3 linked regions of the Lonchura striata genome follow. The protein of the gene in region 2 interacts with the protein of the main gene of each other region in a biochemical or structural test. Links are inferred from orthologs where the notes say so. Each region holds a gene or a part of one and is shown on either strand. Other genes may lie near its edges.

Evidence for each region.
Region 1: the proteins of BCAR1 (region 2) and CRKL interact in a test that uses a peptide from one of them, tested with the Homo sapiens proteins (2 studies listed by BioGRID, with this or other methods). The link is inferred for Lonchura striata from reciprocal best matches to the Homo sapiens genes BCAR1 and CRKL.
Region 3: the proteins of BCAR1 (region 2) and PTPN1 form a complex in vitro, tested with the Homo sapiens proteins (3 studies listed by BioGRID and IntAct, with this or other methods). The link is inferred for Lonchura striata from reciprocal best matches to the Homo sapiens genes BCAR1 and PTPN1.

Annotation. Positions count from the first base shown.
Region 1 is NC_134620.1:3,750,528-3,760,416, reverse strand, and holds the start of CRKL (crk-like protein), read left to right. Parts: upstream 1-5,138; 5' UTR 5,139-5,557; coding exon 5,558-5,871; intron 5,872-9,005; coding exon 9,006-9,468; intron 9,469-9,889. UniProt on the Homo sapiens protein: May mediate the transduction of intracellular signals.
Region 2 is NC_134615.1:15,778,948-15,788,747, forward strand, and holds the start of BCAR1 (breast cancer anti-estrogen resistance protein 1), read left to right. Parts: upstream 1-5,658; coding exon 5,659-6,408; intron 6,409-7,614; coding exon 7,615-7,776; intron 7,777-8,013; coding exon 8,014-8,118; intron 8,119-8,525; coding exon 8,526-9,674; intron 9,675-9,800. UniProt on the Homo sapiens protein: Docking protein which plays a central coordinating role for tyrosine kinase-based signaling related to cell adhesion. Implicated in induction of cell migration and cell branching. Involved in the BCAR3-mediated inhibition of TGFB signaling.
Region 3 is NC_134619.1:1,088,124-1,098,298, forward strand, and holds the start of PTPN1 (tyrosine-protein phosphatase non-receptor type 1), read left to right. Parts: upstream 1-5,424; 5' UTR 5,425-5,514; coding exon 5,515-5,577; intron 5,578-5,793; exon of another isoform or gene 5,794-7,086; coding exon of another isoform or gene 7,087-7,098; intron 7,099-10,175. UniProt on the Homo sapiens protein: Tyrosine-protein phosphatase which acts as a regulator of endoplasmic reticulum unfolded protein response. Mediates dephosphorylation of EIF2AK3/PERK; inactivating the protein kinase activity of EIF2AK3/PERK.

The DNA of each region.
Region 1 (9,889 bases), on a different chromosome or scaffold from region 2:
CATCACATTGTGACACACACTGCACATGGATGTGCTACTTCAGAGAAATGCATTAACTTCCTGGATATTCCCCCTGCTTGGGGATATTCTATTTATGGAAGCAAAGATTATTTCAAAACAGACCTAAATTACTCTGCCTTAGTAGACCGGGGTTCTGGAAAAAGATTAAAGGGTATTTGAATTACCTGCATTAAACTTACTTCTTTAAATGAGTTCAATAGCTTTTTCTTGTTAAGAGAGGCATTTGTTGGACTCTATTCAGCACTGTCAATTTTCAGCTCCATCTCTGAACCTTTGCCAATGGCAAATAAAACAAAAGTCCTGGTAACTGCAGGAAACCCTGATTACAAACTTTTTCAGAGAATACTTTTTTGATAGTGAACGCTGGACTGCACACAGGGTCTGGAAATGCAGGCTTTATTACACTGCAATATTAGAGACTGATAAATATTCCTTTTTTGCCTACAGAGTTACTTGTCATATGTAGGAATTAAATGTAGCCTTCAGATATAAGGACATACCTCTCTGATGTGGGAGTCACTAGAACCACTCCTTCCAGACTGTAAGTGGCAATTTGTTTCCTCTGCAAACAAATTATTATTTCTAACTGACATCTAACTCAGTGCAGTGCATTTTCCATTTTAACCAGCATCTCTAGACAGACCAGTGATGCCCTGTATCATACAAAGATACAGGGTTATTCTTGTTATTTAGATGAAACCTTACTTAGCCTCTTTAACAATGAAAAAAGAATTAATCATTCTTTGTCTAGCTCCTTTTCCTATGTGTACCGCTAGAGGGTATTACTCACTGTTACAAATAACCAACCTGAGAGGCTAATTCTTAGATTACATACGAGAATAGAAGACATTCATGAGTAATTAATGAGCCAAAGAAACATCTTGAGCAAACTTTGGGGAGAGTGGGTGTTCCAGCTTCTACCCTGTCACTCCTTCTGTGTGTGAATACTGATTCTAGAGAGCTCATCCACATTCCATTTATCAGCATATGCTATTTTGTGATTGCATTATTCACTAAATGTTGCAGTTGGATGCTCTGAAAAGCTAATGAATATAAGGCTTAGAATGTAGTTGCAAGGAAATTACTTAAAGCAGATGATCATCTACCTTAGCATTACATTATTTTTCTCTTGTTTTTACTTATTTGAGTGATTTATATATAATATATATATTATATATATATTTATTTATATTTATATATAATATAAATATATTTGGTATAATAACCCTAAGTTACTTGAACTAATCCTAAGGGCAGGTAATACTTGGTAAAAAAACAACTTTTTGCTTTCATCCCCAAAATTTATTTACATCTGACGACAATGTGACTGTTGAAAGTTACAGTATGCACTATCTTACTTGCATGTATTTCATTTAGGTAAAAAACCATGGAGTTTAGCTCAAACCATCCTAATCATTTTTTAGCAGTAGCTCACTTTAGGCCAGCATGTCCTTTTTTCAAACTAGCACACAGGCTAAATAATAATAAAATTGCTTTGCTTTAAAAATGTAATTTTCTTTTACTCAGCAGACATAAATTACTTCTTGTTTACTACCATTACCTATATAAACAAATCGCAGGAAAGATTACAGGTTGATACACAGGGCTGTAATTATTATTGATTGGTTTTCCTATCAAGAATGATGCTTCAGGAACTGAACTTTCACAAGCCCACTTAAGCTTTGTTACCTCAAAAGAAACATGTACTCATAGGGATTTCAAGCTGATTCTAGGTTGTTTTTTTTTATATATAACTTCTCTGGTGTCCTAAATATGTCAGTCTTGTATCTGACAGTAAAAGGCTTTTTTTTTTTTTTACAGTAAGCTCCCTGAGCCAGTATAAAACAAGACATTGTGGACAGATGGACAATGAACTAAGAAAGCTGTAAGTTATTTCTGGTCTGTGAGAGAACAATCAAACAGCTCTTCCAGAAGTGAGTGATCAAAATACCAACACTCAAACTGCTGATACATTAGGAAGTCCAGAAGAATGGTAATTAGCTTTCTTGATGATCTATTTTCCTATTTCCTGCCAGCACAGAGGTAAAGCTGTACAGGCATATTTGCCAGATTTGTAATTAGTGGACTTGTATCCTGAAGTATTTCAGGCTTACATTTTCCATATTTGCAGAAATGATTGTGATTGCTTCAGTTTTGTTTCATAACTGCTTTCACTACTGTATTTCTTCTCCAGCTGTCTATTTCCAAATCCAACATATCCTTTCCCATTTTCCTCATAGTTCAAATTAGGGTCATTAATTTTGTATTGGAAGCATACCCAGTACTTGATTTGAAATAAAATAAGGATTCTTATTCTGTAGCCTTGGCAGAAATGTACTTCTCCTTACTTAGGGATGAGCCACATGTACAATTTATTTGGAACTCAGCCCAATTGATGGGATCTGGTGAAAGGAAGAAGCTTCTGGTGAAAAGGAAGAAGGAACAGCTGGCACAGGGAAAGAGGTACAGGGCCTTCTCAAGGGAATATTCTGCCAGCTGAGGTTTTGTTTCATGGGCAGCTGATGCACTTTTGAGCTCCCCCCTGCATTACAACTGGCCATGCTCAACTGCCAACAGGTAAAGTCAAAGAGCATAAAGGTATTTATATGTACTAAAAAGGCAAAGTGGTACCAGACATTCATCCATTCTTCCTAAACCAAATGCATTTGTAGGGATGTAATACACCTGAGATGATTGTCTGTAGTCTAGGAAGTTGAAGCACAGTCTTATCAGAAAGCATTAATGATGAACAAGTTAACTTTTGCTCATATGGAAGATACGATATGAGATATCCCTCATATGTGGGATCTTTTTCCTAAAATACCTGGTTTAGTTTAACCCCGGTTAATAAAACAGAGGGAATTACTTGAAGGATGCACACAACCTGCACATATACAAGTTCAGAATATCTAATTTCAAAGTTCATTCAAACTGAAAACCTCTCCATGCCTTAGAATCCTCTCTGGATGGGAAGGTGGAAGCATTGGTTCTTCAGCAGCAGTCCAGCCCCATGCAGTACTGCACAAAAACTGGTTTAGAATACTACTTATTTCTGACCTGTTCAAACTATATTGAGATTCTAGTATTATCTGTACAAAATGGAGGCAAAATCACTATACATATTTGATTTTTATTTTAACAAAAAATGTAATTCAACAAAATGAAGCCGCAGGAATTTTTATTTCCTTTTTATATACTATGAGTTACTAAATGTGCTGCTAACTTACAGCTTTTATAATTATTTTTAAATGTTATTTAGTATATTATTGCAAGTTCAAGTGCTATCTTTTAATCTGTATTTTGGCCATGGTCAAACAGAAAACAAGCCAGATCTGTTCAATGACACAAGAAAACATCATAACCTTCATATTCTATTATAGCCTGTCTACAAGTGTTTAAAACTGGCTGTTACTAGCAGACACAAGCACTTAAACCAGGAGGAATGGATCAGAGGTATAGCTACTAAGTAAGATTTCCTAGTAATGGACAAAATTTTTTTGCATAGATGTGAATTTTCAGATGTAATTATTCATCTCTAGGTCACTGTTTTGCTGTACATGACTAACAGCTGTTGTTTTCCACCCAGGAGATGGCTGTATGTCAGCAGCTGGTAAAACGATACCTGCTCATGAATTCAGGGGCTGCTTTAAGATCCTTTCATCTCAATGATGAGACTTCTCCTGGATGGCTTTGTCTAAATCATGACACTGGAGAAGTCTTCCATTTCAGATTTGAACTCTGCTAAATGTCTGCAGAGACACAGCCCATATGTTCCAATCCAGACACCTCGGTTGGCACTGGTTGCCAATGGAGGATGAGGAACAAAGGAAAAATATGACTATGTAATGACTGAACTTTTGGAAAAGGCAGAGCATGAAAGAAAGACAGCAAAGCTGGAATAACACTGCACAACAGTCCAGCTAAGCGCTTCAAGACAGACATCTTAAATCTATTTCTCATTTGAACTGGCTTTTTTTTCTTTTTTTTCAAGTGCTGCTTCATTTCACATTGCCAGCCCTGAAGCAAAATGAATTAAAAAAGCACAAATTAAACGAAGTCACAAGGCTGAGCTAAAATCACACCGTTCTCGGAGGTTTCTAGCACCTCCGGGGAGGCAGCGCAGTTTTTCTGCCGCGCCCCCGCGCAGTGCGGCCGGACGGGCCGAATGGCGCTGCCGGCCCCCGGGGCGTGAGTCAGAGCCCGGTGCCGGTCTGGGCTCCCGGCGCCAACCTCCTCTCAAATTCAAACAGCTCATCCGCACCATGTGCCAAGCGCTGCCCCCGAGCCCTGCCGAGGCCTTTCCGGGCCTTCCTTCCTCCTCAGCGGCTGCCACACCATCTTCCCTCCCGCCCGGGCCAGGCCGGGCTTTGACCCCGTTATCTGCGAACAAAGCTACGAAGAGGCAGGAAACGGCCCCTTGGAGCACGTAGGAAATTATCTCGAGATCAGAGATGATTATCACGGCGGGCCGTTTTGTTCCTTAAAAGAGAATTAATTAACTAGTAAAAACCAGCAAAACCTCAGGAGAGGTGGTGTCTGTCTGCAAACCGCCTGGGGTGAGGGTGCTGGCACCCCTCGGGTCCGGGAGCAGCGAGAGCAGCCCGAGGCAGTCCCGGGACAGCGGGGAGCAAAGCCCGGGGCTGGGCGGCACCGAGCAGGGAGAACGTGCCGAGAGGGATGGGGGGAAGATGGAGGGGCCCCCTCAGATACCTGAAGGCCAAGGGCTGGGGAGTTTCTGGGGGGTGTCCCGCGTCAAAGCGCGCCTGCAGCACTGAGGGAGCCCTGCCCTGTGAGGGGATGCGGTCACCCCCGCCTCACTCACCGCACCGAGCGGGGGTGCACCGGGGACGGCTTGAGTGACTCTCGCGGAGGAACGGGGAAGGGGCGGCCGTGCCGCTCCCCGGGGCGCCGGGACGGGGCTCCGGGGCTCGAACCCCCCGCCCGGCCCCTGAGGCGGGCGCGGCCCCGCGCCGCCGCCGCCGCCACGGCGCGTGCGCGGGGCGGTGTCTCGCGGCGCTCGCGCGGCCCGGCGCAGCCGCCATTTTGGAGCTGGGCTCGCGAGGGGAGGAACCCGCGGGAGGACGCGGCGCCCGGCGCTTCAGCCTCCGCGTCCCGCCCCGAGCCGGGCCGGCTCCGCTCGCCGCCTTCCCGGGCCGCCCGCCCGTGCCAGCCGCCGCTGCTCTTCGTCACCCGCCTGGCCGGGCCCGCCGCAGGCCTGAGAGAGGCGGGAAGGATGCCCTGCACACCCCGCCGCTGAGGGAGACTCGGGGGCCCTGCGCGCCGCGTCTGGCCAGCCCCACCCCAGCCGCTCCTCGGCCCTTCGCCTCCAGCGGCGCGGAGCTTCCTTCTCCCTTATCCCCCTTGCCCTGGGTTTCCTTTCTCCTGGACTAAGCACGAGCCGCTTCCCGCTCGCCCCCAGCCCGCTCCACCTCCCAGGCCTCTCTGCCCAGGCCTCCTCCGGGTCTCTTCCTCCGCCAGGGCCTCCGGGCTCCTCACCTTCCTTCCTCCCTTTCCTTCCCCTTCCCCGCCCGGAGCCATGTCCTCCGCCGCTCGTTTCGATTCGTCGGACCGCTCCAGCTGGTACGTGGGCCCGGTGTCCCGGGCGGAGGCGCAGACGCGGCTGCAGGGGCAGCGGCACGGCATGTTCCTGGTGCGGGACTCGTCCACCTGCCCGGGGGACTACGTGCTCTCGGTGTCCGAGAACTCCCGCGTCTCCCACTACATCATCAACTCCCTGCCCAACCGCCGCTTTAAGATCGGCGACCAGGAGTTCGAGCACCTGCCCGCCCTGCTGGAGTTCTATAAGATCCACTACCTGGACACCACCACGCTCATCGAGCCCGCGCCCAGGTGAGTGTCCCCCGCCACACCCACCGCCACCTTTGCTCCGGGTGGCGCCAGGAGGTGCGACCTGTGAAGGTGTCACAGCCCAGCCCAGGAGCTCCGGAGCCTGGCACTGGGTGTAGATGCTATGAATAAATACTAAGGAAACGTTCGTTGCTAACGCTGAGCCTTAACGCTCTGGATCTCCCCGACAATTAAAAGTGTTGCTCTTTCCGTGCAATCATCCACTCTCCCTGTGCTGACCTTGTGTGTAAAGGTACCATGTACATCTGCCACGGGCTGAAATGGCCTTGAAAGAGGGTGTGGTCGCACGTCACCCTTTTTGTGTTACTCTCTTCTTCTAGCATTGTCTCTCTGTTCCAAGGATGGTTGAGAAGCTGGTTCACCAGTCCTCTCCGTGATTGAAGTACAGCCTCTGAGCTTAGTTTGCTGTCTACCCCTGCACCCACACCGATTACAATAGGACTGGCTTTTATGTGATTAGACTGCTTTGCCCTGTTAAGTCAGCGTTAATACATAGGGCAGCATTTCCCAAACTTTTAGAGTGGCATTTCTGCACCAAAAAAATGTAAAACACTTATTTTCTCACAGATTGCTTATGGTACTGTTCATCTATATCTGCATATACCATACACTTCACTGAGAAATGCTGTTCTAGGAGGATGGGAAAATGTGACTTGGCTATGAGCTCCTTCTTTGTCCTGGTCCCAGCATGGGACATACCTGCAACATACATCAGTAAACTGCTTATGAAGACTCCTATAACATATTCCTTACTTTTAATTAATAAAGCCTTTCTCAGTGTCTTTTGTCAAAACTTTTGGGCTTCCTGGAGAGAATGAAATTAAATTAAATAAGAGAAAAGTAGGGACATATTGAAAAAATAAATCCAAATTGGTTCACTTCTGAATTTTAATATCTTATTATGTTTTGCAGATTAGCAAGTTCTTAGGAGGGAAGAATAACTTTTAGGTTTATAATCACAATTGAACCTTGGCCTAGACCAGTACTTAATGACAGTCACTTGTCAAAGATTGACAATAGCTTGTCAAGTTGAAAACCCAGGTGTTCAAAAGTCACTCTGAAAAGCTGTTAAGTGATGGGCAGGATGTGACAAAGCACAACCTTCAAGAACTATTCAATCTGCTGGCAGCCTTTTGGGTAGTGATTGTGGCTAGAGAGATGGGTAGATAAAAAAAATGGTTTTCACCATTGCAGGAATGCTTAAATGGAGCTGCCCAGTGTTATGTGCATGCTTAAACATGTGGAGAGTTGGGAAGAAAAAAAGTCTTATGCTGAAGCAATCTTCATGGTTATCTCTGTTCTCTTGAACCTTTCTGGATGCAAAAACTTGTTCATAATCATTTATGGCCATGACTGGCTTGGCTTTCTCAAAGCACTTGAGAACTTGGAGCTGATTGCACTTGCACACTTGGTATTTGTGGAGTTTGAGGAGTCCTGTGTGAAATGTTCTGTGAACATTTTAGTACCACCTCATTTGCAACGTTTTGGTTGCATATTGTTCTCTCAGCACACAGACAAATGGGACCTAATCTGCAGGGAATTGACTTTTTTAGCTTTTATATAGAGCTACAAATGGGATTGACTAGGTCTTTTTCCTTACAATGTCTTTGTTAAAACTCTTAGAAAAATCAGTTATGTGGTTGATGGTTTTAAATTCTGTGCAAAGGAGACTTCCTGCTGCAAGAGGGATGATGAAAGGTAGAATTTCCAGATTTTTGGTGGGTTTTTTTTAAATTTTTAGTTAATAGACTAGATTTAGAATAGGGGTGGCCAGGTATGTGCGTCAGAACTGTTATGCTAATTCTTATTTTTCTGGCATTTTCCTGGGCACAGATGCTTGTGCTTTTGAAAGCTGTTCATTCTTAATTTCATAAAGTACAGTCTGAAAGGTGGTTTCTATATAGAGCCCTACAGTACTTCTAGATCTTAGAGATGACATCTTAAACTTTTAAAACAGTCCTAAATGGACCGTTTTAAACTTTGCTTCTTTTATGTCTCTAGTAGTGAGCTCTGACCATCCTTGCTGATGTTTCTGAGCTCTTGCTTATGCAAAGTAATTGTTCCCTGAAGGGTTCCCTCTGTCCCCCTGCTTTGGCTGCAGCAGGGTGTCTGAAGATGGAATATCTTTATCTTCAGGGCTTCTGGCATATCTTGCAAAAATCACAGGGATTTGACTTCCATCATATTTTGCAAGTAGCAAAAGAGAATTGAAGTAGGTTAATGACATGCATCCTTGCTATCATAGCTTAGATAATAAGTATCTGCTGTGGCCTATATCCACTAAGGTTTTTTTGACAGCTGCTTTGAATAAAATGTATAACATTTATGATGAAAATAATGAAATCATTCTCATTTGATGGACAATCTTATATATTCTCACAGACAACAATGTGACTGTATTTGACAAATGATGGACATAGTAATAAACAATTACGTAAATAAAGTATAGATAATATGGTTAATAGGTAAATAGGCAAAGGAATATTTATAGAAGGCTAGCTTTTTTTTTTCTTAGTTCCTTCTTATCAGTGGATGCAAGTATTTCATACTGTCTTTATGAAGATGTCATACCATCTTACTTTTGTTCCCTTTTTCCTCTACAGTGTTTCAAGTCTAGCATTTACTTACTGAATTCTTTAGAAGTGGATGCTGAAGATAAAAACAAAATTATCTGGATGACTTTGGAGGTGGCAAGGGACTCTTGGAGAGATTCATAGCTACATTTTTATGTAATGCCCTTCCACCTCAATCCCCCAGATAGTCTTAATTTGGTTTTCTGTATCATTACTCTCATAACTTAAATTATAGAATTAATTTGACTCTAAGATCATCACAACAATCCAGAACATGTGGTTGAAGATTTTGCATGATTTCTCCAGTTTTCTGCATCCCATGATAGATTATTTTGGGCTTCTGGGGAGGCTACTTAGGGTGTTTAAGTCATTATTTGAGAAGTGTGAGTTACTCATGAAATGCCTCACAGTGCTACCAAGCCAATGATTTGGTTACAAACCCAAGTAATTAATCCTTCTCTAATTGATGTTCCTGCTGCAAACCTAGTACTTAGTTTGTTACTGGAAATACAAACCAAGCTGTTACTTTTACCAAATCTTCAGGTATCCAAGTCCACCAATGGGATCTGGATCTGCCCCTGCCATGTCTGCTGCAGAGGAAAACATGGAGTGTGTTCGGACTCTCTATGACTTTCCTGGCAACGATGCCGAGGATCTCCCGTTCAAAAAGGGCGAGATACTGGTAATTGTAGAGAAGCCAGAAGAACAGTGGTGGAGTGCCAGAAACAAGGAGGGTCGAATTGGGATGATTCCTGTTCCCTACGTAGAAAAGCTAGTCAGATCTTCAGTTGGGAAGCATGGAAACAGGAATTCCAACAGTTACGGTATTCCAGAACCTGCCCATGCTTATGCTCAGCCTCAAACCGCAACTCCCCTTCCCTCAGTATCCAGCACACCTGGAGCAGTGATCAATCCTCTGCCATCCACACAGAATGGACCAGTCTATGCCAAAGCTGTCCAAAAGAGAGTACCCTGTGCTTATGACAAGACTGCGCTGGCATTAGAGGTAAGTTTTTCCTTCAGTCTCAGAGTTTTCAATTGCCTTGTGAAAGAAGAAACTATGTTATGGTGAAGTTGATGTGGATGACTTCATGTGGAGTCTGTTTATTTATGTTGAGGGACCGAGAAGTTAGGTTACATTCTGAAGAAACATCCACAAGAATTGCTTCATCTATACCACTTCCTTTGAGAAAAGTGACCTAGTAAGTAACTTCAGGATCTGTATTTTCCCTCCCTTCTTGCTTGTTCAACTGTGCAAATGTTACCAGCGTAGCAGAGTGTACACATGCTGAAGAAGTGCTAGTGAGAGGATGGCTTTGCTTCTTCACCTAATCTTGAGGAAGGAAAGAGATGTTTCCTTAATCATTGTAGAGTTCCAGGCGAAGAACTGACAGTGGCATCCTCCAGAGAAAGGTAAAGATTGCTGG
Region 2 (9,800 bases):
GATGGATCTGTGTCTGGATGGCTTGGGGGTGGCTTTGAATCCACACGCACGCTAATGGTGTTTTAGAGGGATGTGGCCAGCACAACCTCCCCTGGTATGCTGGTGAACTGGGAAAATTGATGACCTGCAATTTATGGGATCCTGCCTGCCAGTCCCAGCTATGCGCTTCAGAAACCCTCCAGAGTTTTTTCTTCTTTTCAGCTGAGCAAATATGGAAAACCTTGAAATGTTGGAAGCAACCTGACCTGCTGGAAAAGGGCAGTGTGATGGCAGTAGCCAAGAGCCTCGACGCCCCTCTGCTGAGCTCGTGGCAGCATGGTGTACCCAGTTAAGCTTGAGGATGCTGGGCTGCGGTGCCAGCTCCTGGCCCAGCAAGCTGGGGCAGGCTTGGCGGGATGGCTGGGAGGCAGCCTCCAGCCTTGGCTGATTCCTGGCTTCCTCCACGCTCCCAAGCATCCCGCGTTTTTGCTGGGTTGGATCATGGATTCTTCGCCTCTTTCCTGAAGACGAGGAGTGATTTACAGGTCTCCAGAAAACACAGCTTGGCTGCTTTGGAGGGAAAAAATAAAACAACCAAAACCCCTCTCTGCTTGCTATTTCCATTGCCCAGTCACCTTCCCACAAAGGGGGGTGCCCCAGGACCCGCCAGCCCTCAGCCCCACCAGCCCTTGATGTCCCCGGCAGCCCTGCACTTTCTGCAAGGAGCAATGTTCTCAGATGTGGCTCCATCTTTTGAGACATTCCCACCTTGAGCTGTCTTCTCTGGGAAGCTCACACGTTCTCCATGGGTTGGGACCCACCCTGGGCATTTGCTTGGGGTAATTTTGGCCCTATAAGGAGTCACTCATGGCCAGAGCATCACCTCACCCTGAGGAGCTCCCCCTTCCCTGGCTGCCTGAAGGGGCCCCTTGTGCAGCTGAGCCCCAAACAAGGCTCCAATTGTGTCTGTGTGTCCTGATGGTCAGGGCTTCTGCCATGGCACCCGTGTGCTGGGGCCATGGTAAAACCAGCTGTGTCCAACCCACACCCACAGGCTCAGCTTTACTGATCTGCTGGGGTTGGTGGGGGCTGTTACGGGGCCACGGGAATCATTAGAGAGAGGTAACACTGTGCACTTAAAGCTGCTTCAGTGAAAGGGACACAGGAATAAATGTTGGCTCTCAGCATGGGAGGAGGGTGAATGCTGGCTGGCTGGGAGTGCATCCCGTAGCCCCAGGCTGTCCCGAGGACCACAGTGGGATTCATGGACAGAGCTGCCATCGGGCAAAGCGTGGCAGCTGGGAGAAGGAGGGACCAGAGCGTGGAGCTGACCTTAGGAGCATCTCTCTGCCGCTAGGGCAGCAGTTCCCTGAGGGGCAGAGCTGGAAGGTGATGCTGGCAGCACCATATCCTCTTCTCCAATTTGTTGTTTTCAGCCTCTTCCCACCTTTCCTTCAGAGCAATGTCCCACCAAGCAGCACAGTGGGGATCTGTTTGCAGTGTTCAAAAGTAATGGGGAGAAATGGAGTGGACTGTGGGTCTCCCACCCCATTTGAGGGTCTCCACCCCAGGGAATCCTTGTGCTGGTGGTGGGCACTGGCACTGACATTTGAAACTCAGCTGATGGCGATGGCACAACCCTTCCTGCTGTCAGCCCTTCCCGCTCCCAGCAGTGAGCCCCAGCTGGGGGCGAGGATCAGCGCCAGCCCTCGCTAGGGGATGAATGGGGAGACAAACAGAGCTGCTACTGTTGGGGCAGCCTGAGGCCTGCAGTCTGCCTTGGCTTTGCTGGAGATGAGGGGGTGCCTTGCAATCCTGTTCTTTGGAAAGGCAAGCAGCCTCCCCCAGCATCTTCCCTCCACAGCAAAGCACCAACCCAGTGCCACAGAGAAGCACGAGGATAAATCCTGGTTGTGATCCTGTTGGGTCCCGTGATATTACAAGCCAAAAGAAATGTCCTCATTATTTCCAGAATATTGAAGTCTAATAAATCCTGTCCTGCCTTAAAGGATTTATTTCTTCATTCATTGCTAGGAGACTCAGTCCTGTGTAATCCTATTGCTGCTCCAGGAGGTGGGGAGCAGCTTTCCAAAGCACAGACCTGGCAGGGCTGTGGGCAGGAGCAGGAAGCCCCAGCCAAAGCTGCTGGTCCCAGCAAACATCCCAGTCCCACCCCATTTTCCTGGTATGTCCCACTGTCCCAAAGCAGTGCCCTGTGTTTGATTCACCAAAATGAATCTCAACCAATGTTTGGGGCACAGCTGGGCCAATGGGACATTAATTGGCTGCTAGCCAATTAATATGGCATGGTTCAGCACAGCTTGCTCCCCCTGTCCATTGTACATCTGCCATGCTCCCCCAGATCTCACTTTGGAGTCCTCCTACGCCTTCTCACACCATATCCAGCAGGAAAAGCTGCAAAAAGCCAGGAATAGCTGTGCCCAGCACAGCCAGTCCCCTGCAGCCACAGCAGCAGCCTGCCCGTGCAGAGCCAGCCGTGCCTGGCTCACCATCCACCAGGGACCTCCGGAAGACAATGACGGACACATGAATATGGCTGGAAATTTTGCCACTGAAGTGTTTTCCATAGCAACCGTTGCTGGGGCAACCTGCATCCCAAGGAGCATCCATCCCGAAACACCCAGCCCCGTGTCCATTGGAGCTGGCAGGGAATCACGGCGTGGGACTGCCGGGACCCCCAGCAGCAGCAGCACAGGGATGCTCTGGCAGCCAATCCAGCTCTGAGCACCCCCAGCGCTGCAGGGCCCCTGTAATGCTCCACTTCTCGTCTTCTTTTTGGCATTTCATTTTCTCAAAGGTAGCAGAAGCCTAAGGAAGACCTGCTGCTGCCTGTTGCCCCATGGGTGCTTGGCTGTAGGGATGTGCAGGAGCTGTTGCCAGCTTGGGGTGCTCAGCAGGTGCAAGCAGTGATTTTTGGCTCTGATGGACCAAAAATGGGATTGAGTTTGACAGTGAACACTTTGATCTGAGCATCAACACAGGGAGAGGGAAAAGTGATGTTCCCACTGCTTTTAAGTCCAAAAGCAGGAACCTTATGGCCCCTCAGCACCTGCCTGAACTCGTATGGTGGCAGCTTCTCCCTGGGGACACCTCAGGGATCCCAGGAGACTCTCACTGCTGGCCTGGTGGGCCCACACCAGACTCGGGGTCTCCAAGGCAAACACATGGGATTCATGGGATCAGCTGTAGGGTGGCGGAAGAGAGGCTGGGGAGCCTGGAGCCCACCCCAAGGATGCCCACGGTGCTCATGCCTGCGCTGTCACCACTGTCACCAACAAGAGGAAACCGCAGTCCTCAGGCTGCGCCCGCCGGGGCAGCTGCGGTTTGCGGGCGCAACCACAGTCCCTGCCAGCGGATGTCTCCCAGCCACAGCTGTGCCTCAGTTTCCCTTTCTGCCAGTGACACACAGGGACACTTGCCTCCAAGCACTGCTTTTTGGGGGAGGGCACGTGTTTGCAATCTGGCCTCAGCTCTGCCGCCCCACCCTGGTGTGGCCTGAAAGTAACCCCGGAGGGTGAGGGGAAATGCGTGATGGGGATGGCAGCCAGGAGGCATGCGCGCCCAGTCAGGGCACATTCCTGGCCTGTCTCCACCCGCACCACTCACTCACTGGCCTCACACAGGCCCACTCATTGCCTACTTGCCCTTGAGCTCAGTGGCTGCAGGCACCCCTTGTGTCCCTTCCCTTGGTTCCCTGTGTGCTCTGGCTCTAACACACTGGGGGAGCAGCATGGGTGTCCATGCAGCTTGTGCATGTCCACAGGTCCTGTGCCCCCATGCAGATCACACATGCGTGCCTGCCACAGCTCCAGCTGCAGCCATGACCTGCCAGACTGCTCCCAGCTCTCTGCAGATGATGGCAGGGACTGTGGTACATCACGCAGTGATGCCAAACCCAGCCTTACCAGCTGTTGGGGTGCAGATTGTGGCCATGTAGCCAGGCCATTTGAACAGGCCAGACAGGCTGCTGTGGTGTGCCACAGGTACTGTGGTGTGCCCTGTGTGCCAGGTGTCCCACGTGTGCCAGAGTGTGCAATGTGTGCCATGGTATGCTACATGTGCCAAGGTGTGCCATGTGAGCCATAGCACCTACACTACCCATCACCTTCCCCTTGTATCCCCCTGCTATTACACACCACCCCAGTACACCCCAGTACACCTCAGTACACCCCAGAACTCCCCAGTGACCTGTTAGCCTTTATTGCACAACCATTGCACACGTGTTACACACCCGCTAACCTTTAATGACCTTGTACCATTTCACACCTATTGCAGAGCCCGTCTCCTTCATTTGCACATTGCATACAGCCTTTGTTACACACCAAGTGCAGGCTCACTACAACACCTGCTGCACACGCTTCAGTGCACACCTGTTGCACGCCTGTTCCTCTCCCCTTACCCTTTGTCGCACTTGGTCACAAACCTTGGCCAGTGTCACACCCCCTTGGCCAGTGTCACACCCCTTTGGCCGCTGTCCCACCACTTTGGCACCTGTCCCACCCCCTTGGCCAGTGTCCCACCCCCTTGGCCAGTGTCCCACCCCCTTGGCCAGTGTCCCACCCCTTTGGCCGCTGTCCCACCCCTTTGGCCGCTGTCCCACCGTTTCACTCCCCTCACCCTCACCTCACGTCGCTCACCCCGGCCCTGTGCCCGCCCCGCCCCTCACGGGCGGCCCCGCCCCTTTCCCGCCCATCGGGCGTGGCCCCGCCCCCGGGCGGGCTCAGCCAATGGGGGCGGGCGGAGCGGCCGGGCCGGGCGCGCGCGGCGCTATAACGATCCCTACGGCGCCGCCGCCGCCCGCGCGCCCCGGCCCCGCCGCCCCCGGCCCGGCCCGGCCCGGCCCCCGGCCCCGCACCCGGCCCGGAGCGGCCCCGCGGGAAGATGAACTACCTGGTGAGCGGGGGCACGGGGCAGGGCACGGGGCGTGTGCGGGGACAGGTAGGGCGCGGGGGAACGGCTGCTGGGGGGCCCTGCTGGAGGAGGAGGAGGAGGAGGAGGAGGAGGAGGAAGGCCTCAGCCCCCGCACCCTCGGCCCGGGCACGGCCTCTCCCGTGCGGCCGATCCCACTGCCGTGACCTTGGCCGAGCTCCCCCGCTCCGAGCCGGCCGGGCCTTGCCTGCCCCCCTCCCTCCCGGCGGGTCAGGGCGCCGCGGGACTCGCGGGGCCCAGCGGGGCCGGGGGCCTCCCCAGGCCTCCGCCCCACCGGGCGGGGCGGCACCGGCGGCGGGCAGGGCCGCGGGGCAGCGGGAGTCCGGCCCTGCCGTCCCGGGCGAGCCGCGGCCCGTCCCGCCGCCGCGGCCCCGAGCAGCGCTGGCAGGTGCCGCCGGGGCCCGGCTCGGGGACCCCGCGGGGCGGAAGGGGCCCGGGACCGACGGCGGGTGCCGAGCGACGGCCACGGCCGCGGCTGACTCACCGCCCCGGCACTTCCTCCCAGCCGGCGAGGGAAGGGGCGGGAGAGGCAGAGGAGGCCCCCCGAAACCGGGGAGGCGGAAGGGCCCGGCCCCTTCCCAGCACCTCCTCTGGGAAGGGTGGGTTTTGCTCCAGCGAGGATCCCGCGGTGGCCGGAACGGGGAGCTCCAGCTGGCGGGAGCCGAGCGGCGAAGCCCCCGGCCCGCGGGGCTCCGTCCCGGTGCTGAGCTGCCGCCCCGCATCGCCGGGATGACGCCCCACCGGCCGGCGGGGCCCGGCTCACCGCCCCGGCGCGGGGCTCTCTTCCAGAACGTGCTGGCCAAGGCGCTGTACGACAACGTGGCCGAGTCCCCGGACGAGCTCTCCTTCCGCAAGGGCGACATCATGACGGTGCTGGAGCGCAACACGCAGGGGCTGGATGGCTGGTGGCTCTGCTCGCTCCATGGCCGGCAGGGCATCGTTCCCGGGAACCGCCTCAAGATTCTCGTGGGGATGTACGACAAGAAGCAGCCGCAGCAGCAGGCGCCTGCCCCGGCACAGGGGCAGGCACCACCGCAGCCATCTGTACCCCAGCCAGCTCTGCCCTTCCACCACCAAGGGGGCTACACCCCGCTGTCATCTGCCTCGCAGTACACCCCCATGCACCCTGCTTATGGCCCCCAAGGGGACAATGTCTATCTGATGCCAGTCCCCAACAAGGGACAGCAGGGTCTGTACCCGGGCTCAGCACCCACTGGACAGTTTCCTCCTGCCCCAGCTAAGCAGCCTTCCACTTACCCGAAGCAGGCACCTCCCCATACCTTCCCAAACCCCAGCCAAGAAATCTACCAGGTTCCCCCCTCCCTGGGCCAGGCAGCAGAGGCGTACCCAGGGGGCTCTGCCAGTCCCCCCCAGGATGTCTACCAGGTTCCTCCCTCAGCTGGTCAGGCTCAAGAAATCTACCAGGTGCCACCGTCATTGGACATGAGGAGCTGGGAAGGGCACAAGCCCCAGGGAAAGGTAGGATGGCGAGACTGGAGTGGGAGTGTGTTGTGTTTGTGGGGTGCTCTGTGGTCCAGGGGTACAAGTGGGTGGCAGAGCTTGGGCTTCTCAGCTTGCTACGCTTGGAACAAGCAGCATATGTGCCCATTGCTGGGGTTGTGTGGGTATCTTTGCCCACACTGCTGGCAGGAGTGGGTGCACTGGAGAGTCCCTGCAGTGGCTGAGGTGCCCTGGTTGGTGGGAGCTATCCCTCTTGGGGCTGGCACAGCATTCAGCACTCTGGTCCTTGTGGTCTCTTATATGGGCTCTGCTGGTATCACCCAGGGCATGGCAGTGTGTTTGGTATGGGCACAGAGTGTTGGTAAGCCAAGAGCTATTTTGGAATGCCAGGTGTTGGAGCTGTGGAAGGAGCTGTGGTACCCAGCACAATGCTGTGAGATTTTGTTCCTCCTGGGAGCGTGCACAGGAACAGACAGGCAGAGCCAGCATTTCCTGACTGTGCCAGGCAGCCTGCAGTACTTGCTAGGTACACTGGTGAGGGAAGGGTGAGCCACCAGGCTGTCCCCAGCATGGAACCTAACGGCTCCATCCTGGACACCAGCCTGCTTCTGGCTCTGCCCCTACCCTGGCACGTCATCCCCGGGAAGAGGAGTGAGGTGCTTTCAGTATCGTGTTTTCCAGGAAGGCTACTCCAACTCATACCCCTGGGAAGCAGGCAGTGAGGGGAGGGAGCTGCCAAATCACAGCCAGGGCACAAGGAACATCCGAAAAGGAAGAAACCGGCCCAACACCTCAGCCCTCCTTGGCATTGGTTGGGCAGGGTGCCATTACCCTCTGGGTTTGGTTATTTTCCGCTCTGGTGTCACCATGAAACGACCCGTTCAGGCACAGAGCTGTGGGTCGGGAGGGATCTCCGGGCGCTGGCAGACCCCAGCCCATGCCTGGATCGGCCATTGCTCTCTGCGTGCCACGGCTGTGCCGGCCGGGCTTTGTCTCTCGCTGAGACTCTACGCCGCTATAAATAACCGGTGATATCATCCCGGCACCGCCGCAGCCCGGCCGGGGAGCGCCCTCCCGTGGCACCGGGCACACCCTAACTCCAGGCAGCCCGGTACGGAATCCAGCAGCCGTGCTCTCTCTGGCCCCGTTGCCGGGTTTTGAGGGAATGATGCAGGGTGGGAGATGCTCAGTAATGCCCACATCATGTCTTTTCCCTCTTTTCAGGTGCTGGTGCCCACCCGTGTGGGCCAGGTGTATGTCTATGATTCCCCCAAGGGTGAGCAGGTTGAGTACGATTTCCCTCGCCACCTGATCTCCACGGGCTCCCAGGAGATCTATGATGTGCCACCTGTCCGAGGAGGGGTCCCGAGCCAGTTCAGCCAGGAGGTGAGGCTGCTTGGGATGTCAGGGGGACATTTCTGTTTCTGCTCTTAAGAATTGGAGATCATCCCCAGGTCACTATGGATCTCCAGGTCACTGCCTGAGATCCATACCAGGCTAAATTGCACCCAAAACTATACTTCATGGACCTCAGTGCTGCTTCTGAGCACCTCAGCTGGTCCCTGAGGGGAGGTGGGTGGCCACACCATCTCTGACACGTCATCCTGTGTTCCCCCTCTCCAGGTCTATGACACTCCTCCCATGGCAGTGAAGGGTCCCAATGGGCAGGACCCAGGGCAAGAGATCTACGACGTGCCCCCCAGCGTGGAGAAGAACTTGCACCAAACTGTAAGTGCTGCTGGGAAGCTCCCAGCTTTGTGTAAGAATGGCAGACAGATTTTTACACGGAGAAAAGTAATTTACTAGATCAGTCTCCCCAGAGATGTGGTGATGTCCCTGGCACTGGAGGCTTTCAGAATGCCAAGGAATGGGTTGCTGGATGTTCACATCCAGGGGATGAGGTTGGACCAGATGATCTTTCAAAGTCCCTTCTAACCTGGGCTGCTTTATGATTTTTTGCTTCCTGTCCCAAAGGGCAGGGGCACCCCTGGGGTGCATGGCTTCATCCCAGGGCCATCTTGAATGCTCAGTGCTGTCACTTGCATGCTCTGCAGCTTGGGGCAGCCAGCCTGCATCTCCACACCTACCCCAGGCTGCCTCTCCCTGCTGACAGTGCCACTGCTCTGCCCTTGCAGGTGTACGATGTCCCCCCCTCAGTGAGCAAGGACGTGCCCGATGGCCCAGCACGGGAGGAGACCTACGATGTGCCACCCGCCTTCGCCAAGCAGAAAACCTTCGACCCCTCCCGCCACCCCCTCATCCTGGCCCAGCAGGAGCCCTACTTGCCAGAGGATGTCTATGATGTGCCCCCGACAGCTGGGAAAGGTGCTCCTGAGCTGCCACTCTCCCACGAGATCTATGATGTGCCCCCCAGCCTCAAGAAGCTGGGGGGATCCACCTTCCCCTCCCAGGAGGTGTATGATGTGCCCCGGGACCTGCACGCCCCAGGCAAGGGCTCTGTGGACACGGAGGGCGAGTACATCTACGACGTCCCACCACAAGTAGACCGCGAGGCCAAGGGTGCTGATGCCAAGCGCCTCTCGGCTTCCAGCACAGGCAGCACCCGCAGCAACATCTCCACATCCTCGCTGGACGTGGTGCCTGTGAAGGAGCCGGCTAAGGGAGCCGGCAAGGAGTTCTCCCTGGACTTGGATGCCGCCATGGAGACACTGGCCAAGCTCCAGAGTGGCGTCAGCAGCGCTGTCTCCTACCTCATGTCCTTTATCAGCACCAACTGGCGCAACCCCGAGCACATGGAGGCCAATGCTGCCAACATCCGTGGGGCAGCCGACGGTGTCCGGACAGCCCTCCGGGACCTGCTGGAGTTTGCCCGGGGGGCAGTGGGCAATGCTGCCCAGGCCTCTGACCGTTCCCTCTACACCAAGCTCAGCAAGCAGCTACAGAAGATGGAGGAGGTCTACCAGGCCCTGGCAAGGCACGGCCAAGCGCTGGACGCTTGCCACTGGGCTCCCAGTGCTCTGGCCAGCAGCAAGCTGGGCACAGATGACTTGGAGCACTTCATCATGCACTCACGTGGTGTTCCTGATGACACTAAGCAGTTGGCTTCCTTCCTGCACGGCAATGCCTCCCTTCTCTTCAAACGGACAAAGCCGGTGGTGGAGAGTGGTGGCCATGGGCCCCCTCACCCCTCCGACAAAGCCAGCAGCATCCAGTCACGGCCCCTGCCCTCCCCTCCGAAGTTGCTGGCCCAGGAGTCACCTGACGGGCCCTACGAGAACAGCGAGAGCGGCTGGATGGAGGATTATGACTATGTCCATCTCCAGGTGGGCATGGGTATGGGGGCTGCTTCCCACAGGGAGCCTTTATGTCTCTGTCACAGGGGGAATTAGGCAGCTCTGCTTCTGCCTATGTTTTGCTCTTACCCTCCAGCTTGAGGGCTTTGTGGACCA
Region 3 (10,175 bases), on a different chromosome or scaffold from region 2:
ACTGACAATTGTTTCACCTACCTGGCAGGTCAGAGAGAGCACCAGCAGCCCTCCATCACCACAATTATGGATTGTGCAATTTCGTTTTCATTTGCGAAAACATGGATAGATGCAAGCGGATTTCAGAAGAGCCAGTGTGGGTGAAACCATTCCCTCCCCAGTCCCACCACCCTGCCCGTTCTCCAGCGCAACGCCTCCTCCTGCACACGCACAACTTCTCCCTTCTGTTTATTTTTTGTTTTAAACACTCTAAGCAGAAATTGACTTTGGCTGCTTTTCCTGAACTCTGAAGTGTTTGAGCAGATAAGATTCAGATAACCCATTAGAAGAAACGTTCCTAGGTCCCTCTTCTCCTGGCAGGGGGTCACCAAGGCCAGCCATGCATCGAGGTTGCTTTGCCCTGCAGAAGGATTTTTCTGTCTCATTTACTTTTCAAATTGGGCCAGACTTTTTTACTGTATCTCACTTGTAAAAAATGTTCCAGCTGAAAGATACTTGTTTATGTGCAGTGCTGGGGAAACACAAAGTGTAAATCTCCCTGCTGCCATCCCAAATCCGGTGCTGGTTTCCCAAGCAGTTTTATTGAGCCCCTCGGACTCAGCAAAAGGGAGTTGATCTGAGCTCCTCTTCCATTACAGAAAATAAATAAAGAGTGAGAAAACTCTCACACTCTAAAAGCTCTAAGATGTGCCTCCAGAAAGAACTGTTCTTTAGAGGACAATATGAAAATAGTCACACTTGTTTCAAGGAAATACTGATTAAAATAGATAAGATTTTATTTTCCTATTTTTTTATCTTAAAGGCTTACCTGAAATGAGAAGGCTTTTGTTCTCTTCCTAGACAAAAAGGAATTCAGGCTGTTCTTTCCACACAAGATATTTGTTGTAACTACAGTCTTACTTATGGCTGGCATGCATTTTGTCACAAAGATAATAGTAATAATAATAATAATAATAATAATAATAATAATAGTTGTTATTACTGCTGTTATTACTGCTGTAATTACTACTACTACAAATAACAACAAATTTTAGAACACCATGGATCACTGAAATTATAGAATTAGCTGGGGTGTCTCAGGATGGAGTCTTGAGTGGTAATACTGGTTTATGGTACTGATATTTATCTTCTTTTCTCCTCCTGCCCCAGCATCAACGTGTTCTGTAGTTCTGGAAATATTGTTTATGTGCCAATGTGGTTTACTGTACTAGAGACCTAGTCATGCCTAAAGCTAATCCAGAAGAAAAGTATTTTTTGTGGGGTGTGGTTTTTGGTGGTGGTGGTGGTGTTTTTGGGGGGATTGGTATTTTTTGAAGTAGCTGTGTTCCCACCTCCATTCCCAAGTGCAGCTGCATGAACACTGGGGCTGGCAGAACTGCAGGGGTGGGATGCCACAGAAACCAGCAGCGGGTGCCAAAGGAGGGGAGGCTCGGTCGCTGCTGCTGCCACACACTTTGCCTTGGATACCCACCTCAAGGGCAGTCAGAAAATCATAAATAAACTCCCTTTGCTCCAAGCTAAGGCTGCTGGCAGCAAGGAACTCGGGGCAGACTGCAAAACCCTGCAGGAATCCCAGGCAAATCTGCAGTGACACCAAGGACACTACTGTCTCAGCAGGAAACCTTTGCTGTGTCAGTAACCACATTTGAGCTAATGCTCCCTGCATTTGTAAAACCAGCAGCCACAACTTTGAATGAAATGCAGACATTGAACATCTTCAATGTGAGGGAAAAAATATTTCTGCTTGCCAGACTAGAGATGTGCAGACTGGAGCACTCACCGTTCTGCAGCCCGGGGAAGCACGGGTGGAAGTGATTCCAGACTCAGGGATGCTGCATCTGCTGCAAGGAAAAAGGATCACTTAAGGAAAAGGTTGCTGAAAACATTCTCCCATTAATCTAAAACACTACATAAAGGATAAAACAGTGACTGAAAGCCTGGGGATAAATTACCTTACAATCATAAACATACACACATCTCTCCTGACACTAGAGAGTCCATCACCCCTGAGTCCCAACTGCATTTGGAAATCTTTATTTAAAAAACTAAACAATCTGGCAAGATTTCAACATAGACCTCTCAAAGCCTAATGCTGTGAAACTAAAGCCAGCTCTGCAAGTGTAATTTTACTCTATTATCACATTAGTAATAAAAAAAGTCTTCCTAATCGTTACTACTTGACTTAAAAATCCTGTGTACGAGTGAAATCCAGGCTGTGATGGCAACGAGCAGTAAGGGCTGGAGTGCCATCCAACGGTGAGATATAGTCACTAACAGCTGATTAAAGATCTCTGCCTCCACCTGCTCCTGCCACAGCAGGGTATGAAACGCCCTGTAAAACCCACGGAGGCTCTGAAAGATCTGAACCAGCAGAAGCTGCCCAGGCACACACACACACAGAAGTTATTTTCCTTTAACAGAGGCAGTAAGCAGAGTTTTTGGTATTCTAGTCTTGTTTGCAGCACTCAAGTTCCATCCCATCCCATCCCATCCCATCCCATCCCATCCCATCCCATCCCATCCCATCCCATCCCATCCCATCCCATCCCATCCCATCCCATCCCATCCAGAACTTCTGTTTCACAAAAGCTAAAGCCTGGCAGCTGCCAGAGCAGCGAGCCCTGGGGCTGGCACACCCTGCCACTCCACAGTGCAGTTCGTGTATTTGTGTATTCCCAGCTTTCTCCATCAAGATCCTCTGAGCTGTGGAGGATGAAGAGAGGATATGAAATGTAGGATTGAGTTTGGACAAGCACCCGCCTTTTTTATGAAGTAGAAATAAGTAACACGATCCAACCCTTTCCCCTGAATTCTCATTGTCATTTTAAGAGCCAGGCTCTAGTGGACAATTTGAAAACCAAAACCTCTGAATCAGGCTACACTGGGATGAAAATACAGTGTGCCTTAAGTTGCACAGGTTGGAATTGTTTTGGGAAGGGACTGCCTTTCTCTGTGCAAAGTGCAAGAAGGGTTGTGTCCTGAGAGCACAGAACATTTTCATTTACCTAATCCTCCATTATTATATGGATCTGAGTTACCAGTAAGACTTTTAATCTCTTCTGTGTTTTATTTCCTGCAATCCTTCGCAGATTTTGCAACTTTTAGTATTTTGTAAGGTAGATCATAAATTTCATAAAGGCTCTTAGGAAATTTTTTGCTGCTCTGCATATGTGCGGAGGCACAATTTGAGGATTAAATATGTATTAAAGGGTGAACAAGTTTGTAGGGCACAGATGTCTGATCCAAGTGGCCATTTTCAGCTCATATTCTTGGCTGGAATGTATTTCAGACCTTAAGCTCTACTGGGACAGGTATCCCTGGCACATGTATCCAAAAGCGTGGAGCCAGTTGAGTCCAATTCAGCACTTGTGTAAATCCCCTCTGGCTTCAGCTGAAGTTATAAATCCAGAGATTAATTTACCCTTTATCCATTGCAAGCCAGGACTGAAAATTTAATGAAAACAGACCTTCCTGTAACAATTCCAATCCAGACATTCCTACCACCTTTCCTAGTCTATCCCAACCATCAATAAATTTTATTGTAAGATGTTTATTTTTAAAAAATCTTATAATAATTTATACTGTGTAATATTATATTATTTATACAGTATAATATATATTATTGTATAATAATTTATACTACAAAGTTATATACATTTTTATACTAATTTATACTATTTGTATATCATTTGTACGGCTTCCTACTAAGCAGGAAATAGTTCAGAAGCCACCAAAGAAACCTTACAGAAAAGCCAAACTATGCCAGGGCCAATTTTCCCTGCAATTTTAGACGGAAATACTCGGCCAGCGGAAAAGTACATCTTTACGAGGAGGAATGGGAAGAACTAGAGTAAGAACTCGCAGGAGGAGCTGTGCCCTGCCTCCGGCGCTGCTGCTGCGGGAGGAGGCGCGGGCGGCGAGCGGGGCTGGGTTCCAGCACTCCCGATGGAGCAGTGACACCCAGCGGCTCCTGCCCGCTGCGGGCTGCGCTGCTGCACCGGGCTCTGCCGGGGCTCGCTGCTGCACCGGGCTCTGCCGGGCTCCTCCGGGGCTCTGCCGGGCTCTGCGCTGCTGCACCGGGCTCTGCCGGGGCTCGCTGCTGCACCGGGCTCTGCCGGGCTCCTCCGGGGCTCTGCCGGGCTCTGCGCTGCTGCACCGGGCTCTGCACCGGGCTCTGCCGGGCATCTCCGGGGCTCTGCCGGGACTGCCCTGATGGAATGGGCTCTGCACCGGGCTCTGCCGGGCTCCTCCGGAGCTCCTCCGGGACAGCCGCGGCTGCGGGCCAGGGAAAGGGGACCCCGGCCTGAACATTACCTGAGGGACCCCGGGCATCACACACCTGAGACCCCAGCCCAAACACACCTGAGAGACCCCGGCCCTCACACACCTGTGGTGATCCTGGCCATCACACACCTGAGGGGCCCCTCAGCCCTCACACACCTGTGTAAGTTCTCAGCCCTCACAGACCTGTGTAAGTTCTCAGCCCTCACAAACCTGAGAGACCCCTCAGCCCTCACACACCTGAGGGACCCCTCAGCCCTCACACTCCTGTGTAAGTTCTCAGCCCTCACACACCTGAGAGACCCCTCAGCCCTCACACACCTGTGTAAGTTCTCAGCCCTCACACACCTGAGGGGCCCCTCAGCCCTCACACACCTGTGTAAGTTCTCAGCCCTCACACACCTGAGGGACCCCTCAGCCCTCACACTCCTGTGTAAGTTCTCAGCCCTCACACACCTGAGGTACCGCGGTTGTGACGTGGCTCGCTGAGCCTGGCATTGAGTCCCCGTCTGGCTTCTGATTGTCGCATCTCCTTGTCCTCACTCTCATCTCTGCTCACCTGCCCTGTGCAGGTGTGTCCCAGCCGAATCCTTCTGCCCGGTGTCCCCGCTGCCAGGCTGTCCCCACTGCCGGGGGACACTGCCCGGCTCCTGTCCCGCTCCTGGACACTGAGGTGACCCCAGCCCCTCACAGCTGCTGCTGCTCCCACGCTGAACGAGACCATTGTACACATTGCCCGAGGTCCCTCAGGTGTGTGCTGGCCATGAGCTTCTCGCCACCCTTCTCAACCCCTTGACCACAGCCTCTCATGATTATTCTTACGACTAAACAGCAATTATATTTACCTACTAAACAACCATCACGTCTAACAATTCTATCACTTAGCCGCACAGCTGCGCTTCTAGCAAGCACACGGCCTACACTTTCCAAGGATGTATCTCCCAGAGCCCACTAAGCTTAATTTCCCTTCCCGGGCGGGCACGGCGGGGCACGGAGGGGCACGGAGGGGCCCGGGCAGGGCACGGCGGAGCCCGGGCGGGCACGTCCGTGCCCGCCCGAGCTCCGCCGTGCCCTGCCCGGGCCCGGGTCCCACCGCCCCGGACATGGCGTCGGCGGGGCGGGTGCGCAGTTCCGGCGGCACCGTGAGGGCGGGGGCCGGGCAGAGCCGCCGCGGCCTCGGCAGCAGCTGCAGCCGGAGCGGCGCTGGGGGGCCCGGGCCCCCTCGGGGTGGAGATGGAGATGGAGAAGGAGTTCCAGCGGCTGGACCAGGCCGCCAGCTGGCCCGCCATCTACCAGGTGAGGGGCAGCGCCCTGCCCGGTTCTGCCCCGGCCGCGGGTGGGGAGCGCTGCCTGCCTCCGCTCGCTGCCTGCCGCTCGTTCTCTCCGCCGTGCCGCCGGTGCTGCCCCGGCACTGCCCTGCCCTGCCCGGCTCCCCGGCGGGCCGGGCCCCGCCGCGCTGCCCGCCCGGAGCTGCCGCCGCGGGCGCATCCTCAGCGCGGGGACAGCGGAGGAGCCGCTCCGGCCGCCCCTCCGAGCTGCCTTCGGCTCGGAGCACAGCAGCATTTCGCTTTTCAGGCGCCTTAATCATAGAACAGAGCCTGCAGCAGCTTATTAGCAATACTCCTGCAGCTAGCTGCTGGTGGGTTTTTATTGTGTCGCTTGCTGCGTTTAGATTTTTTTCGGGGGTATTTAAAACAGCGCCGTGACAAACGTTAACGCTTGCAGTAATATTTGGCTTCTGGATCCAGCTGAGCATACAAGCCACAGAAGTTGGTGCTTTTGTCTTTAAAAGTTCTTCACACCTTTATCTAAAATGAAGTTTAAGAGAAGCTGAAATACGTGAATGACTGGGCGGATGTGTTCAGTCAGATCAGGCAGCATTGCTGTAACATCCATTTGAATGTTTAAGCTGGTATATTGCATAAATGAATGACTTGAAGTTCATGTTTGCAACATAGATGTTGAGCTTTGTTTCTTTCAGTGTGAATTTCTCTGGCAATAGACCATGGAGAGGAGTTGCATAAAAGTGAAATAAAAGGACTTCAGTTTCAGAATAGTAGCATGCAAGTTGTAACAGCAGTAGCTTGCAGGGTGAACATCTTGAGTTGTCTGGCCTTTAGAGAATAAGCATGACATGTTGAGCCTGCTTTTCAGAAGGTCCATTTCCTACATTTCCCTGCCGAGTGTCAGTGCTTGCCGACTGTATCAGTTGAAAGTCATGTGGATATATGACGTTATGTTTTTGCTGAACCGTTCTGGATGATTTGGTGTGTTGCGAGCTTAGTGCTCAGGAAATGATTTTGAGTAACAGAGCTTTGTAATTTAAGTAGTACATTTCTACAGGTACAATTGAATTACAGAAGTGAAATATCTACGTCGAATGAGGGAATGGCCCATTTTCAATGAGGGATTAGCATTCAGTGATATTTTTGTCCTGCTCTCTTTGAATGATATGACTCAGTGGCCTGCTCAAACTGTAGCACAGCATGAGCTTTGATTGAGGACTAAAATTCAGTTTAAAAAAGGACTGAAGTGATTCTTTGGTTTGCATCCAACTATTGACAAGCACAGGGGGTGGGATTTCTACTTGTTTTTTTTTTTTCCCCTGATTGATTAGTAAATATGTGCATCTATGTCATGAAATTCAGTTTCTCAACTGCATCCTGCTTTTAAATAAGCTGCTGGAAATGGCATCTTGGCAGGTCGTGTACATCTGGAAGAAGAAGGTGCTTCTCCGTGAGCTGTGCTTTTCGTGTCTGGGCTGTGACATTAGCAAAGCAGTTTTCCTACAATGCTGGCTTTTGCATGAAGAATGCAGTAAGTAGAGCAGTGTGTGTGATGGGTGCAGAAAAGCATTTCCCCCGGGGTAATTGTACCACGGCCTTCTGGTACCTCAGCGTTGGGGTTGTAACTGCTGGAACCCAGAAACATTCCCCAGTGCTGCAGGTGAACATTTGCAGCTTGCCCGTGTTCCTTGCCTGTCTGTTATCTGGAGATACAGCACAGCGGCTCCAGGAGGAATGAGCCTAGACAGGGAGGTGTGGCTAAGGGAAGGGAGACTGCCTGGGTGCCACATGACCTGGAAGGGTTAAAATTGTCCATGCGTCTTTTTTTTCAAGGAGCGGAAGCTGTGTTCAGCTATGATAGTACAGTTGGGAAAGAACAGAATTTAGATGATCTCCTTTTTTCAGCAGAAGTAATCCCAGCATGGGGAGACACAAACGCTTCAAAATGAAGACCTTGTTTAGGTGATTTTGTGACGATCAAGTCTTGGGCACTGCACAATGGTGGAACCATTCTCTGTACAGCTGGTCACAGGGTGAACAGTGATGAAGTTCTTTGCGTTTTGTTACTCTAGGGTTTTTTTGAATGTTTGTTTGGTTTTTAATACCTATTTCTATCCCATACTTTCCTCTAGATTTGCTTGTTAAAAGAACTACGAGCCATAAGATTCTGTGGAGGCTGTTCAGGGACCCAAGTGAGAAAAATAATTGCTAAGGTTCTGGCTGTTGTTTCTGTTTTAGAGAAACCTAAGTGTAAGAAAGGCGCATTCGAATTAAAATCCTCTTCCATAAAACCATAAGAGGAAAGTGAGCTTTACCATGTACTAACTGTGGTAAAGGTGTGCAACAGAAAACAGATTCTTAAGGGTAAGTGAATGACATGCACCCTGCAGAAATACCATTAGAAGTATCTATTGGAATGAGAAGCTTTCACTCCGGAGATGTCACAACAAAAAACCCGTACCCCAAAGCTAAGGAAAGCACAGTTTAAGCTCTTAGAGGAGGAAAGAAAAGTAGATATTTGTCCAGAATATCAAAACAACTGGATGGATATCATGAAAACAACAATGACTGGATTGTCATTTGCTCACAGTGAGCGCAGTATCAGATTTTCATAGTAATTTCACATGCAGAAGCCTTTCAGAACTTTAGAAGATGCTTTAGTTTCTAATTTCTTACACAGGATGATAGAACGAGATATTATCTTAAAAACACATCCCTTAAATACAGATAGAGTTGCTTCTTGTGTTTAAAGAAACCAGATATGTTGACTTTAGTATGTTGGCCAATGATATTAACTTTGATGTGCTTATCAGGAGCAGTAAAAACACCTCTGAATTATTTACTGATGTACCATTCAACTGGTGATTCCATCCACTATGGGTGGAGGCAGAGCTGACATTTGGGGACTGCTCATGCAGAGTTTTCCATGTGAAGGCAGCAAAATGAAAATAAAATGTACATTCTTTTCTAGTTTGTATAGTTAGTGGAATATATAATAAGAACTGGATATAGTTTAGATTTTCCAGCATGTTTGGAAGTGAGTATCCTTCCAAAACCTATCTCTGGAAAACTGAAGTGTAGTTGGAGTTGGGTTTGAGGCCTGTAAATAACTGTTCTCAGTTTCTTTATTCATTTTTTAAGGTCTTTTAACCAAATATTAACTTGAATGTTTGAATGCTTCAAACCTCTCTAAGCTAAATTAAAATACTACAGATTTTGAAAATTAATGAACTTTATTCAGACTATGGGAGGAAGATAGGGATCGTGGATATTTTGGATATCCCTCTGTCACAACATAAAAGGCATGGGAAGCTTTTTAGATACTCACTGTCTCTGGAAGAATATTTATAGAATATTTTCTTACGTAGATGGATTTTGATGCTGGAAGTAAACTGTGAAATGGTTGACCCTGAAGAATTGTAACAGTGTGGTTGTGTTGTGTGTTTAGGGTCAGTGGAAGGGAAGCTTTAGAAGTGTTGTTGGTTTATAAGCTGCAGCAGGAGTGCAGGCTGCAGTCTGAAAGCATTTGGGTAGCTCCTTTGCTCAGGTGCTAAGCAGCAGATAAATTGTGGCACGAACATGACTTTTTATAAATGCATCTTTGTGCTTTATTCTGCCAGTTCTAGCTGCAGGTCTCTGCATGCAGTGCCTTGCCACTGCTTAATTTGTGCTCTGTTGATTCATTTGAGGCTCAGCATAATTGGCTCTGGCTGTAGAAAGCTGGTTTAGGGCTCAGGGTTGCAGGGAGTCTCTGTTCCTTCGGTAAGCTGAAGATATTCCATGTTTTCCTGTGCTGTACGCTGAGTCTTGCTGCGTGTGTGCAGGGTTAGTGCTGGACAGCAGAGTGTGGCTCACAAAGTCAGGGTGCTCCCTGGAAAGCAGAGCTGCTGCTCAGCTGCAGGGGATGGCACCTCTGTGCCCTCGGGGCACTGTGCTTGGGCTTCAGTGCTGGCTCCTTCACAGCAGCGCCAGCCGTGTCTCCTGCTGGCAGACTGGAGATGGCCTAAGTCCCCTTAGATAAAGCTACTGAGCCACTTGCTTTTTCTACAGAGTTTAAAATCAAATACTGGAACCCAGAGCTGCTGTGATAGTCTAGCTGGAAGCAGAGCATGGGAAAATGGAGCCTGTTATGGTTATCATTTGCTAAAAGTTTAGAAATCATACAATGCACACACAGTGCTCACCTGCTTCTCAGCATTTTTGGACGGGTTTTATGGTGTTAGTATGTTCTTTCACACGGTATTGTTGCTTCCTCTGTGTGCTGCAAGCACAGATGTATGAAAGAAAACTGTTAAGGAGAAAGCGGTGTTGGCCACATGCCAAATGATGGTAAATTCAAATAGAAATAGCCCTTGTAAGCAGAGAATAAAATGTGGTAGACCAAATATTTTTCGAACTAGAATAACTTTCTAAATATACTGGGTAGGTTTGAAATAACAGTTCATCCTACAGTTAACTAAACATTAAAATTAAATGTTTTCCTGTAATACTTGCTTTGCAAATGGACTTTCTCCAAGGGCTCGCTTTAGTTGAGTCTTCAAAGGATGTGGCTTACGCTGAAATATCACTGCTACTTTCTTGTAAACATGAGAATTACCAGGTTTTAGA